Linked DNA regions of Bombyx mori. Each later gene encodes a partner of the first gene's protein in a complex. Links are inferred from orthologs where the notes say so. Each region holds a gene or a part of one and is shown on either strand. Other genes may lie near its edges. The genes, in order: bromodomain adjacent to zinc finger domain protein 1A, DNA polymerase epsilon subunit 3 and chromatin accessibility complex 16kD protein.

The links.
Region 2: bromodomain adjacent to zinc finger domain protein 1A (region 1) and DNA polymerase epsilon subunit 3 share a complex: the UniProt entries of both Homo sapiens proteins name them as parts of the CHRAC ISWI chromatin remodeling complex. The link is inferred for Bombyx mori from reciprocal best matches to the Homo sapiens genes BAZ1A and POLE3.
Region 3: bromodomain adjacent to zinc finger domain protein 1A (region 1) and chromatin accessibility complex 16kD protein share a complex: the UniProt entries of both Homo sapiens proteins name them as parts of the CHRAC ISWI chromatin remodeling complex. The link is inferred for Bombyx mori from reciprocal best matches to the Homo sapiens genes BAZ1A and CHRAC1.

What each region holds. Positions count from the first base shown.
Region 1 is NC_085131.1:1,114,285-1,117,945, forward strand, and holds part of bromodomain adjacent to zinc finger domain protein 1A, read left to right. Parts: intron 1-1,903; coding exon 1,904-2,030; intron 2,031-2,576; coding exon 2,577-2,653; intron 2,654-2,987; coding exon 2,988-3,091; intron 3,092-3,651; coding exon 3,652-3,661. UniProt on the Homo sapiens protein: Regulatory subunit of the ATP-dependent ACF-1 and ACF-5 ISWI chromatin remodeling complexes, which form ordered nucleosome arrays on chromatin and slide edge- and center-positioned histone octamers away from their original location on the DNA template to facilitate access to DNA during DNA-templated processes such as DNA replication, transcription, and repair.
Region 2 is NC_085130.1:7,455,861-7,458,770, forward strand, and holds DNA polymerase epsilon subunit 3, read right to left. Parts: upstream 1,578-2,910; 5' UTR 1,453-1,577; coding exon 1,093-1,452; 3' UTR 564-1,092; downstream 1-563. UniProt on the Homo sapiens protein: Accessory component of the DNA polymerase epsilon complex. Participates in DNA repair and in chromosomal DNA replication.
Region 3 is NC_085111.1:17,749,480-17,753,826, forward strand, and holds the start of chromatin accessibility complex 16kD protein, read right to left. Parts: upstream 2,836-4,347; 5' UTR 2,248-2,835; coding exon 2,122-2,247; intron 1,639-2,121; coding exon 1,381-1,638; 3' UTR 1,375-1,380; intron 999-1,374; 3' UTR 1-998. UniProt on the Homo sapiens protein: Forms a complex with DNA polymerase epsilon subunit POLE3 and binds naked DNA, which is then incorporated into chromatin, aided by the nucleosome remodeling activity of ISWI/SNF2H and ACF1.

The DNA.
Region 1 (3,661 bases):
GCACGTTCCGTTGAAGCTATATAGCTAGTACGCAGATTTGTACATGGATGCACCCGGAATGTTGACGCTCTATCCTGATGCACTAAGATGATGTAGCACGGGATCACGCGAGGTCCCCCCCCCCGTGGCATGTCTCCCGTTCACCGTCATTGGTGCATTGTTCTTTCATTCATAAATCCTGTTCTTATTCTATTGCTTTTCTTTGGTTTACAACGTTCTTCGCAAAATGTTTACTTTATGCTTGGCAACCCTGTCGCGTAGGCCTTCATTGCGACATGTATCTTTACAATAAATCTCCCGTTGAACTATAGGAACTGTATGCTCGTCGCTGATAGTAGTGGCAATGCAAGAAGCCGACTGCCATCTTGAAATACACAGTAAAAGATCCTTATTCGCGCTTCCTTCGGTAGCGTTTTCACTATGCGCGGATTAAAAAAATGCGACCAAATTCCTATATTCGCGACTAAAGATTTCCTTATTCGCGGATCTAATTGATACATAGGTACGTATGCGTTGATAGACATGATTCCAATATAATAATATACTGACTACTTATCTTTTGAAAAAGCGTCGTCAAATGGATTAATAAAAAAGTAAAATGGACCTTATTACAACTTTGCCTAAAGTATATTTTTAAATGCGGACACGTGAGACGGAACGTTATGGATAAGAGCCGCTTTGCGTGTTTTATTGTTTGATATTTCCATTCGTTACAAAAATTGTGATAGACCATTCCGTATTCACGGTTTCTGTATTAGCGGTATATTTACGGAACATATAGCCCGCGAGTAAAGAGCTTTTACTGTAAAGAAAAGTCACATATCTTCGACATGACCCATATGTTCTTTCGTAAGCTCGCCTTGTGCATTCCCTGTTTTGTGACTTGAATGTTACTTTGATTCATGGCGAACAACCGTTAATCAGATTGCTTTTAATTTTAAACTAAACTATTGACATTTTCATTAGTACCCAATGACAACTCATATTTTACTGTTTATGTTTCTATAAAACACATAAAACTTCTTGTTTTAAGGGTGGGCTGTCCCATCTGTCCACATCGTTCATTGAGACCACTATTGAGATATTGACCTCATGTCTCAAAGTCGCATTGTTGTTGCGACTTCTATGCGCTTCTGTGAGCACTGACTACTTCGTAATTACCCATGTAGGTAATAGAAAATCTTCATTTCCGTCCCAAATAAAAATGCTTTATAGTAATAACAATGTCAGTAGCATGACTGCATGTGATAACGATAGATGTAGAAATCAAACTTCGTACACGCAAATGGATTATTAATTCATTTCCTTAATCACGATTTCCGAACTGATTCTTCTGTTTGTAACCATCAAACCATTGCTCATCTAAATAATTAGATTGCTTGTTAGAAATAGGACTTACCTTTCCTCTTTGTCAATTTGTAGAAATTAAGTTTGCTTTTTCCTAATATTGTTCCGTGATCTCATATTATTTACCTGCGCCGCCTAGTGAGTAGATATCTGACGTACAAACTAATATTTGAGAACAATAAATAGAAAGTTTATAAGGAAGATACAATTCTATAAAAAGCAATCAAGACTAGAAAGCTATTTAATTTGTGTTCTGCTTTATAGTGATTACTACTCACATGTAACAAATTACATTATTTTACTACAAAATTGGGACAAAAAAATGTGGAAGAGTAATTTTAAATGTTTTTCAATTTTTGTTTAACAAAGATTGTAGGCAATATCCATAGACTAAATATTGCTTCAAAAACATTATGCTGTGTGCCATCTATGAATTTGTTATATGATAAAAAAGTAAAAAAGATTATCAACAAGCAAGGTTAAAAAATTTAGTAACTTTTATTAAATAAATAAATATTGTACATATATTAAATTTTAATTGCTTTTTCATGTGTAGAGTCAGAAGACAGCGATTACAACACGACTCTGGTTAAACTGAAAAAGAGGAAACAGCGCCACAGCAACGACGCGGTGCCCCTGCAGAACGGGACCACCCCTCCTTCGGGGAAGAAACGCGGCAGGAAGTGAGTATTCATCACGCCCAGACCCTCGGGCGCTCGGTTTAAAGGTCGGCAGAGAGCTTTGACAAAACTCCTCATTCAGGGGCCCTTAGATGTTCTTGTTTAGGTACCTATAGTGCACAGACACAAAAGTGCCAAGCCCCCTTGTGTCCGTGAGATTGTCTGTCTGATTGATTGACTTGGATATTTTCTCACTCATGAAAGACATGATAATACTATGGTTGAATAATTTTGTTTTTAATGACAAATGACATTTTTTCTGCTTAAGGACAAGTAAATTAAGTAATTTACTTGTCCTTAAGCAGAAAAAATGTAAATGTAGGGTAAGTACCCTCTTTTTGGTTTTGGACTAGATAGCAGTATATCCCCCATAGTGCTTCTGTGTAAACAAACAATATTAATCTGCTAAATCAATCTTACCACACGTGTCAATTATTACACGTATATTTATTATAGATGAGACTTATTGTGTAAGCGAATTGACATTTCGGCGACTCTCACTGGTCATTGGTATCGGAGCTCTGACGAACTGTATTTGTTCACTTCCAGACCAAAACACGAGAAACTGAACATGAGCAACGGGAAAGATAGGAGATCGAAAAATTCCCTCACAAACGGAGTTCATGGTGAGTGCGGGGGGCGGCGCGGAACGCGGGGTGGTGGAGCCCCCGACACGACTGGACTGTTCTAAGTCGGTGGTTCACAGTTTGCTAAGTTGAATCAGGATACTAGTGTAAACACGTATCATTAATATGCTTCCTTAAAATTTATTTAAAAAACTTTTCTTTAACATCCCACATAAACTTTGAACCTTCTAATTTGGCATAACAAGAGTCGAGTTGTGTAACGTTTATCGGATCAGAACCAGGTTTATGCAACATCATCTTTCTTACTTGAACATGGTGGTGGAGCCGTTCGCGTCTTCATGACCCCTTACGAGAGTCCCCGTTCTGTCCGCAGAGGAGCGTGCGGCGCGCGGGCCTGACGCCGTGCAGCAGCTGCTGCGTGACGTCATCAAGCACAAGGACAGCTGGCCCTTCTACGAGCCCGTCTCCATTGAGGATGTGAGTCAAGCGCCAAGGCACCATAATCTCTTTTCTGGCCGGAGTTTTAACCTTAAGGTTCCCGCGCACGGGGGGCGCGCCACGTGTAGGACTCGGTGACCGAGGAAGCTAACTCCCCTGCGCTCGCCCGGTCTCCGTCGTGCTAGAGGGGACAAATAAAATAAAAAATATATTATTATCTTCTATTTATCGCAAATAATTTAATTTCAAATTGGGGAATGGATAAGTATTTCACAGCGTCATAGTATAGTGACTTCGCTGGATACGCGCGTCTTATCCTTTAGGCCACGGTGAAATTGTATTGTGCGGTTATAGTTACTTAGATTCTTTATTAATTAGATTAGATTTACTTATTATTCTATTACCTATTATTACTTAGATTAGATTTACCTATTATTCTATTACTTATTATTACTTAGATTAGATTATTTCTAAACTGTTTCGAAGTAACCATTTACTTAGCACGTATCATACACAGTTCATGCCCTACTAATATGAAGTACTCAAAGTTTATTTATAAATCATGAAAACGCTCTGTAACTTTGTTAATTTTATTTCAGGTACCTGATT
Region 2 (2,910 bases), on another chromosome or scaffold:
AGACTTCCTATAAACACTTATTTTGAATCTTATCCTATGATGTTATATTGTATTTGAGTCGTCTATTATCAAAGGTGGCAATCTGTGCATTTGGACAAAAAAATGTTATTGATATGTCAATACAGATTGATTTGAATATAATCGTCTCCTTCAAAGAATACGGTTCAAAACCTGCATTAAATAAAGGTTAATACTTAACCTGTTATTTATCTAAGATGTCGTTCAGAAGAGTTTTGTGACTGCCAACAGAATACAAAGTCAATAATTCGTTTTTCTGATTTACCAATAATTGTCCAAAAGTCACATTGCCGGCTTTGATAATAGTCGACTCATTTGATTCATATTTCGTATCATTTAATTCAAATTGGTTGTCATGTCCCACTCTTGACAAAAGCCAAAACAAACTACCAAGTTTCGAGAACTACCACCATAGATAAGCAGGGCATTGAATATTGTATGATATATTGAATGAAAATAATTGGAGGTTTTCACACAAACATAACCATTATTTTAATTTCTCTTGAGACTATTCTAGAATACTGAAAAATAATAGAAAAGCCAGATTCTAACAAAATTTTCTTATAATTACAAGTTTTAAAAGGATGTGTGACCAGATCTAGTAATAATTGTAACATTTACATAACATACATACATACATAACCTAACATTAAGTAATTTTTATGGCAGTAAAAATTAAGTTTAGAAAAATATCAGTAATAAATCAAATAAAATACTTTTAATTTTAGCAAATTGCAAAAACAAATTTTGAGAAGTTCTAAGTTTTAATTGTAGTTAATTTACTGATGTAAAAGTAAGTGGACACAATTCATTTTGGGATGCTTTTGAAGTTTACTTGTTTTTAATAAAAGTTTATTTAATTTTAAAACACTTCATACATTATTACCAACTGATTAATTATTGCGAGGTAACTGTTGTAAATGTTCATGGGAAACTTGTTTCATTTAAACATTTATCACTTTTGTAACACAGGCATGGGTTCTTTGAACTTATTTCATATAGTTTTTCAGCACAGTTTCTGAATATACACCACTAAGCGCCACTATACATTTTAAACTCAAGTCGCAGTAGTATTCAATCGTCTTCTATAATCTCAGCGTCTTCTTGTTCATCTTTTTTCTTCATAGAAGCGGATTTTCGTGCCGAAGCCATGGTCTTGTAATGTTCCAGAGCTTCTCCTAAAGGTTCCACAAATCTATCAAATTCGATGTCTTTCATAGCATCTATCACGTCCTGCCCAGTGAGAGCCTTCCTTTTTTTGTTCTTAACAATATTTGTAGCTGCTGAAGTCACATAAAGTACAAAAACTGAAGCCGCCTTAGCGAGGCCAGTTCGCGCCTCTTTTGATATCGATACGCCACTGGGAAGAGCTTCTTTTACGATTCTAGTTACAACTGTGAGTGGTAAATTCAAATCTTCGAGTTTTTCAGCCATTTTTGTTTATAACGTTCCTATTTATAAAATCTGGAATTAAATGAAAACATTAATTTAACCGCCAGAAGCACTAATGACATTTCTTGACATTGATTGGAGCATACAGTCACAGTTATAGATTATACACAGTTACGAATGTTACGATAGTACTCTCTATGTGTATTATCTATGGATACAAGGGTTAGTAACTGCCGCCTGTCGCCGTGCTACAAAAAGTCTCAAAAATAGGTACTCGGAATACAATGCCTTTTTTTCAAAGTTTTCATAGGTATCGTGGCTTAAACTATATTATTATGCTGTATGAGATACCCGGTGAAGTTACATAAAACGATGGGACAATACCAGCAGTTAGATCCTGCAGTGTAGTAGCCTACCGAATTCACAATTAGTATTTAGCGTTATCACGTGTTTATTTGTTGTTTATTCAACGTTTCTATTATTCTTCAAAATTAAAACCTCAAATCTTATTCACGTTACATGCTATAAAAACATTGCGATCTGTTTTCCAAAAATATTACAAAAATATAGGATTGCGTGATAATTTTAATTCACTGGTGGCAAGAAAGCACGCATTGATGATGACGCATAATGTCCATTTAACGAATGCAGACCAGAAGAGGGCTTGTAGTGCAGCAAAGATCAAGACAATATGAGATAAACTTAAACTGTATGCTTTGGTGGGAAATCGACTTTATCGTCTAATTAACTCAAAATATTTAGCAGTCACCATTATCCAAAATAATTCACGGTCAAAAAATAAATTACTCAAAAGTATGTAAAAGTTTATTTTCGCTATTATTTTTTGGTTAAATTATTATAATCTGATAATCTGTTATTTTAATCAGCCATTTAATTCGCTTGAAACCTTGTTGATTGTTGATAAAAATAAAAAGCAATGGTTCGAACACTCGTGTTGTTTGTAGAATTATTTGATTTGCACGATGTCGATATAATGAGAAACGAACGAAATTACTTGCTCATTTCTGCCACAAAGCATTATTGCATTCCGGTTTGAAGGGAGGAACAGCAATAAAAATTTCATCTTTAAAAAATAACATGGCCTTCAGTTCACAAAAGCTTCGCGTTCGTTATCATGTTACCCGTAAACAGCTGATTTACGAGTGACCAGTGTGCTTAAAAACATTATTTAGAAAATATAATAAAATATATCAGTAGGCTTACCATAGATTTACTAGGCATACATTGACTACCATGAAAGCGTATATTAGCGTATCAAAGGACACGTTGTCCGTGTTAGTTCGTTTTTAAAACATAATAGGTATCTACTTTTTAGATAGAAATTGACAACTGAATCAACTAAACAGGTCAATGACCTAGTTTTACAGAAATCGATGAAAAATTAAAAATGAATGACGTGAATACATATAAAAGGGAAGGTCAATTGTTGAATTTACTAAGTACGTAATAAAATTGAAATAAAATTTATAAATACATTTT
Region 3 (4,347 bases), on another chromosome or scaffold:
CAAAAATAATAAAAAAAATAGTAGTTATAAAAATCCCACTCACATGAAATGTTTACAATTCATTCTATATTTAATCTACATCTACAAAACTCGCACTAAGCACAGATCAAATGCAATTATGAGTCCAGATGGCCTCAATTGTCACATGAAGTTGGAGTTTCAATCACTTGTATGGTTGAAACTCCAACTTCATGTGACAATTGAGGCCGTCAGCGCAAAAGTGGCCAAAGCTTACCATAGTTATTATGGAGCAGAGATATTTAAATTTTCACGAGTTTAAATTTGAGTACGCAAAAAACAATAGGGGCAAAAATAATGTTTACAGTCATCTATTACCTATGGGTGAAACTATGAATATGCCAGTTTTGCATCAAAATTTATTATATTTTAAATAGATTGCAATATACATAATTATAAACATGATTATGAAAAATTGTGGGTTAGGCCACTTTTGCGTTGACGGCCTCAATTATACTCCTGTATGCCTTAGATATTGTGAGAAACATACTTCAGTGCTCTTAATTATAGTTGAAATTATTTGATAAAAGTGTCACACAACAAATAGTTTGAGATGGTCCATGAAATGACAATTACTTTTAGATTACACCAGATCAAAGTTTTAGCAATATAATTTATAAACTTTCTGTTATTTATTTCACTTTAATATTTGAAAAACTTAAAGTAATCATAAGTAATACAAATTTTAATTGCATAACATTTTGATTAACAAACAACATGCAAAGGCAGAATTCTATCATTTAATGACACAATCATCAATTTAATGACACAATTAAATGATACTTGACGAGCACAATATTTGTAAATGTTATTACATTTCATGAAAGAAAAGAAACCAATTTGTAAAATTAAGTTAATAAAAATAACCCAACGCCAGAATAGGCTTATTGGCACAGATTAGGAGACACTCAACATTTGTTTCTGTTTAAATTCTTCACTTTTCTTCAGTCTGTGAATTTGTCCCTTAGTGTTTGTAGTTCCTGAAATTATAACATTTGAAGATTAAAATCACGATCATCTAGTTTGCTAAATTATTTAAAACATTGTGCATCCACTAACAGGCCACTATTGGTGTATTGGGAATGTTGTTATGTTTTAAAATAAATAAATAAGATTTAGTCTGTAACATTCGAAAAATCACTGCCAGGGTTGATGAGTTAGACTTCTACATCAAGTAATTCCAGTGTAGTTATTTACTTTTTTAGGATCTTTACATGTAATTTTTTTCTTAAATATATTTGAGAAAAGTATTTATGACTACACGCATTTTAAAACTAAATTAGTGTATTAGTCCTTAAATTAAATTATTTATTAAAATTTAGTAAAAATTTAGTAAATTAAATTATTCTAACTTACAGCTTATCACTCTTGTTCATTGTTACTGGATGAGTCTTCACTGCTGTCTTCACTGGAGTCTTCACTTGAATCATCACCGTTCTTGGCAGCTTTCTTGGCCATCATCTCTTTGAATTGACGCACAGTGATCTTTCGAGGCATGATCTCTCTGAGAAAGTCTAAAGTGTCATCCTCTTGAACAATATCAGCAATATGTTTGTATTCTAGGAAGTTGGCATTACTGTTTTTGTGTGCCCTCTTTGCTAGATCCATTACAAACAATTCCTGGAAATTAGTGTGATTATAATCTTTATCGGAGTCCATAGCTATCACAATGTGATTGTCACCACTCTAAGAACCTACGAAATAAGATCTAAGTCTCAGTTGTACTATAAAATACTGTCCAGACTATTCAAAATAGAATATCATCAATCATTGGAGTAATTGGTGTAATAAAAATCAAACTCATAAAATTTTAAAAAATTGCATAAAACTAGTCATTACGGTAGGGCGCACATCGGTATTTCGGCTGCGAAGCAGTAATGATTTTCGGTTTGAGGGGCGAGGCAGCTGTTACACTATACAATTGAAACCTCATGTCTCATGTTGGGTAGAGACATTCACACAGTGATGAGGTCTATAGGCTCCAGTAACTACTTAACACCAGGTGGGTCGTGAGCACGTTCAACCGTCGAAGTAATAAATAAAAAAAAATCGCCTTGGGAAGTTTAGGTTAGTTTAACTTAGGTTAACCTCTAGAAAACTCACTGTAACTTTAGTGACTAAATATAGTGGTTCTGGACCAACTGCTTCTACGTCCGGTGAGCTTTTCATTATTGTTTTAACCCTGGACAGGGGCAAATGCAGATCTTTTTCACTTTTTGGGGTAGCCATCGTTTTAGTCGAAAGGAAATACAAACTAACTAGAAATATTTTATAGGTGAACTATTAAAAATTCATTTCAAATAGATTATTTAAAACAGACCGCGAATCTCTAAGCATTTTAAACTGAAGTCAAAACTAAACGTCAAAATCAAAAACTTTGTTTTGTTTCATTTGTAAATCGGAAAGGCATGCGGAACATTGCTCATTAAATATTTTAATTTTCTGTAAGATTTGTTGGGTCCAAAGTGAGTGAGCGTGAATTTCCGCAGATCTTTTATCTTGAAAAAAAAAACAGTCACTGCTATGTTAGCCACAGTTTTATTCCAATTCCTCAATAATCGTGAACAACGATTATTGACGTCTAATACACAAAACAACACCCAATTTATATATTATACATCACAATAAACTATTAAAAAACATTAAAATAAAACTTCAAGTGACGCTTCACTCGGGTTGCCGCCAAAACTCTCTGATCATATTATTTAATAAGAATAGAGTAATGGTAGGCCATTGAGATTTTTACTAATGGAATCATTAATATCTAAAAATAATTATATAAAGTAATAATTATTATTACAATATATAAAAATTGAATTGAACAAAAATAAACTAAAAAAGTCTGTGAATTATAACCATTAGCTATTTTTTTTAATTTGTTGTTCAAGTCACAGACAACTCTTTCGTTTGGCAGCATATAGGTTTACTATAAGGCTGTATGGGCTAAGCCCTTTGCCTATTGGCGAATTTAAAAACTGTGCCATACTCAGTTTTGGAGATGAATGAAGTTAGCCCCTCAAAAAAATTTTTTTTTCCTATTTTCTACTTATTTTCTATTAATTCGTTTGTTCATCATTTGTTCATGATTGTTCACTGTTAATAATTGTTTGTTCTGCAGTTATTTATTTAAAAAAAATATTTAAAAATATACCTACAAGTTAGCCCCTCTAATGCAATTTTTAATATTTTTTCATCCTTAATGACTCGTAAATATTTATTTTCGATTGTTCTTATATAAAACACGTTTGTTATCTTTCGAAATTACTCGTTTTTTGTTTAATTTACTATTTTTATTAGTTGAATAAATGTATGCAAAATATGTGTACTGCGCATGCGTCAACTATAATGCCTAAACTTTCTACGTGGTTTTAATGGTGAAAAAGAAAACAAATATAAATCCTGAAGGAGCAATTAATTGGTATACAGTTTAATTAAAAAAATTAAAAATTAAATAAATGAAATAATGTGCATTGGCGTTAAGTTAGACCAAATACATTTTTTCCATCCTCTTACCTATCGTATTAAAATGTTATTTTACTAATGTTAGGAATATAATTTCGACTGTGTAAAAAAGTTATTATAATGTATACCTATATTATCTCTTGAAAGATAAATAATGAACATATTTACTTATTTGTTTATATTACCTATGTGAACTCCCTATCTTTTTTATACCTTCATAACGATAAGTAGGAGGATGGAAAAAATGTATTTGCTCTAACTTAACGCCAATGCACATTATTTCATTTATTTATTTTTTAATTTTTTTAATTAAACTGTATACCAATTAATTGCTCCTTCAGGATTTATATTTGTTTTTTTTTTCACGATTAAAACCGCGTAGAAAGTTTAGGCATTATAGTTGACGCATGCGCAGTACACATATTTTGCATACATTTATTCAACTAATAAAAATAGTAAATTAAACAAAAAACGAGTAATTTCGAAAGAGAACAAACGTGTTTTATATAAGAACAATCGAAAATGAATATTTACGAGTTATTAAGGATGAAAAAATATTAAAAATTGCATTAGAGGGGCTAACTTGTAGGTATATTTTTAAATATTTTTTTTAAATAAATAACTGCAGAACAAACAATTATTAACAGTGAACAATCATGAACAAATGATGAACAAACGAATTAATAGAAAATAAGTATAAAATAGGAAAAAAAGAAATTTTTGAGGGGCTAACTTCATTCACCTCAGTTTTGGGGTGTTATCAAATAAGTATTTTTTTTTTTTGTAAAACAATGCCAGGGTGAAAGAAATGTTGATACATAAACTAAAACACGTGAAAAAATAAGGCATAGTTTTTCAAGTACAAAA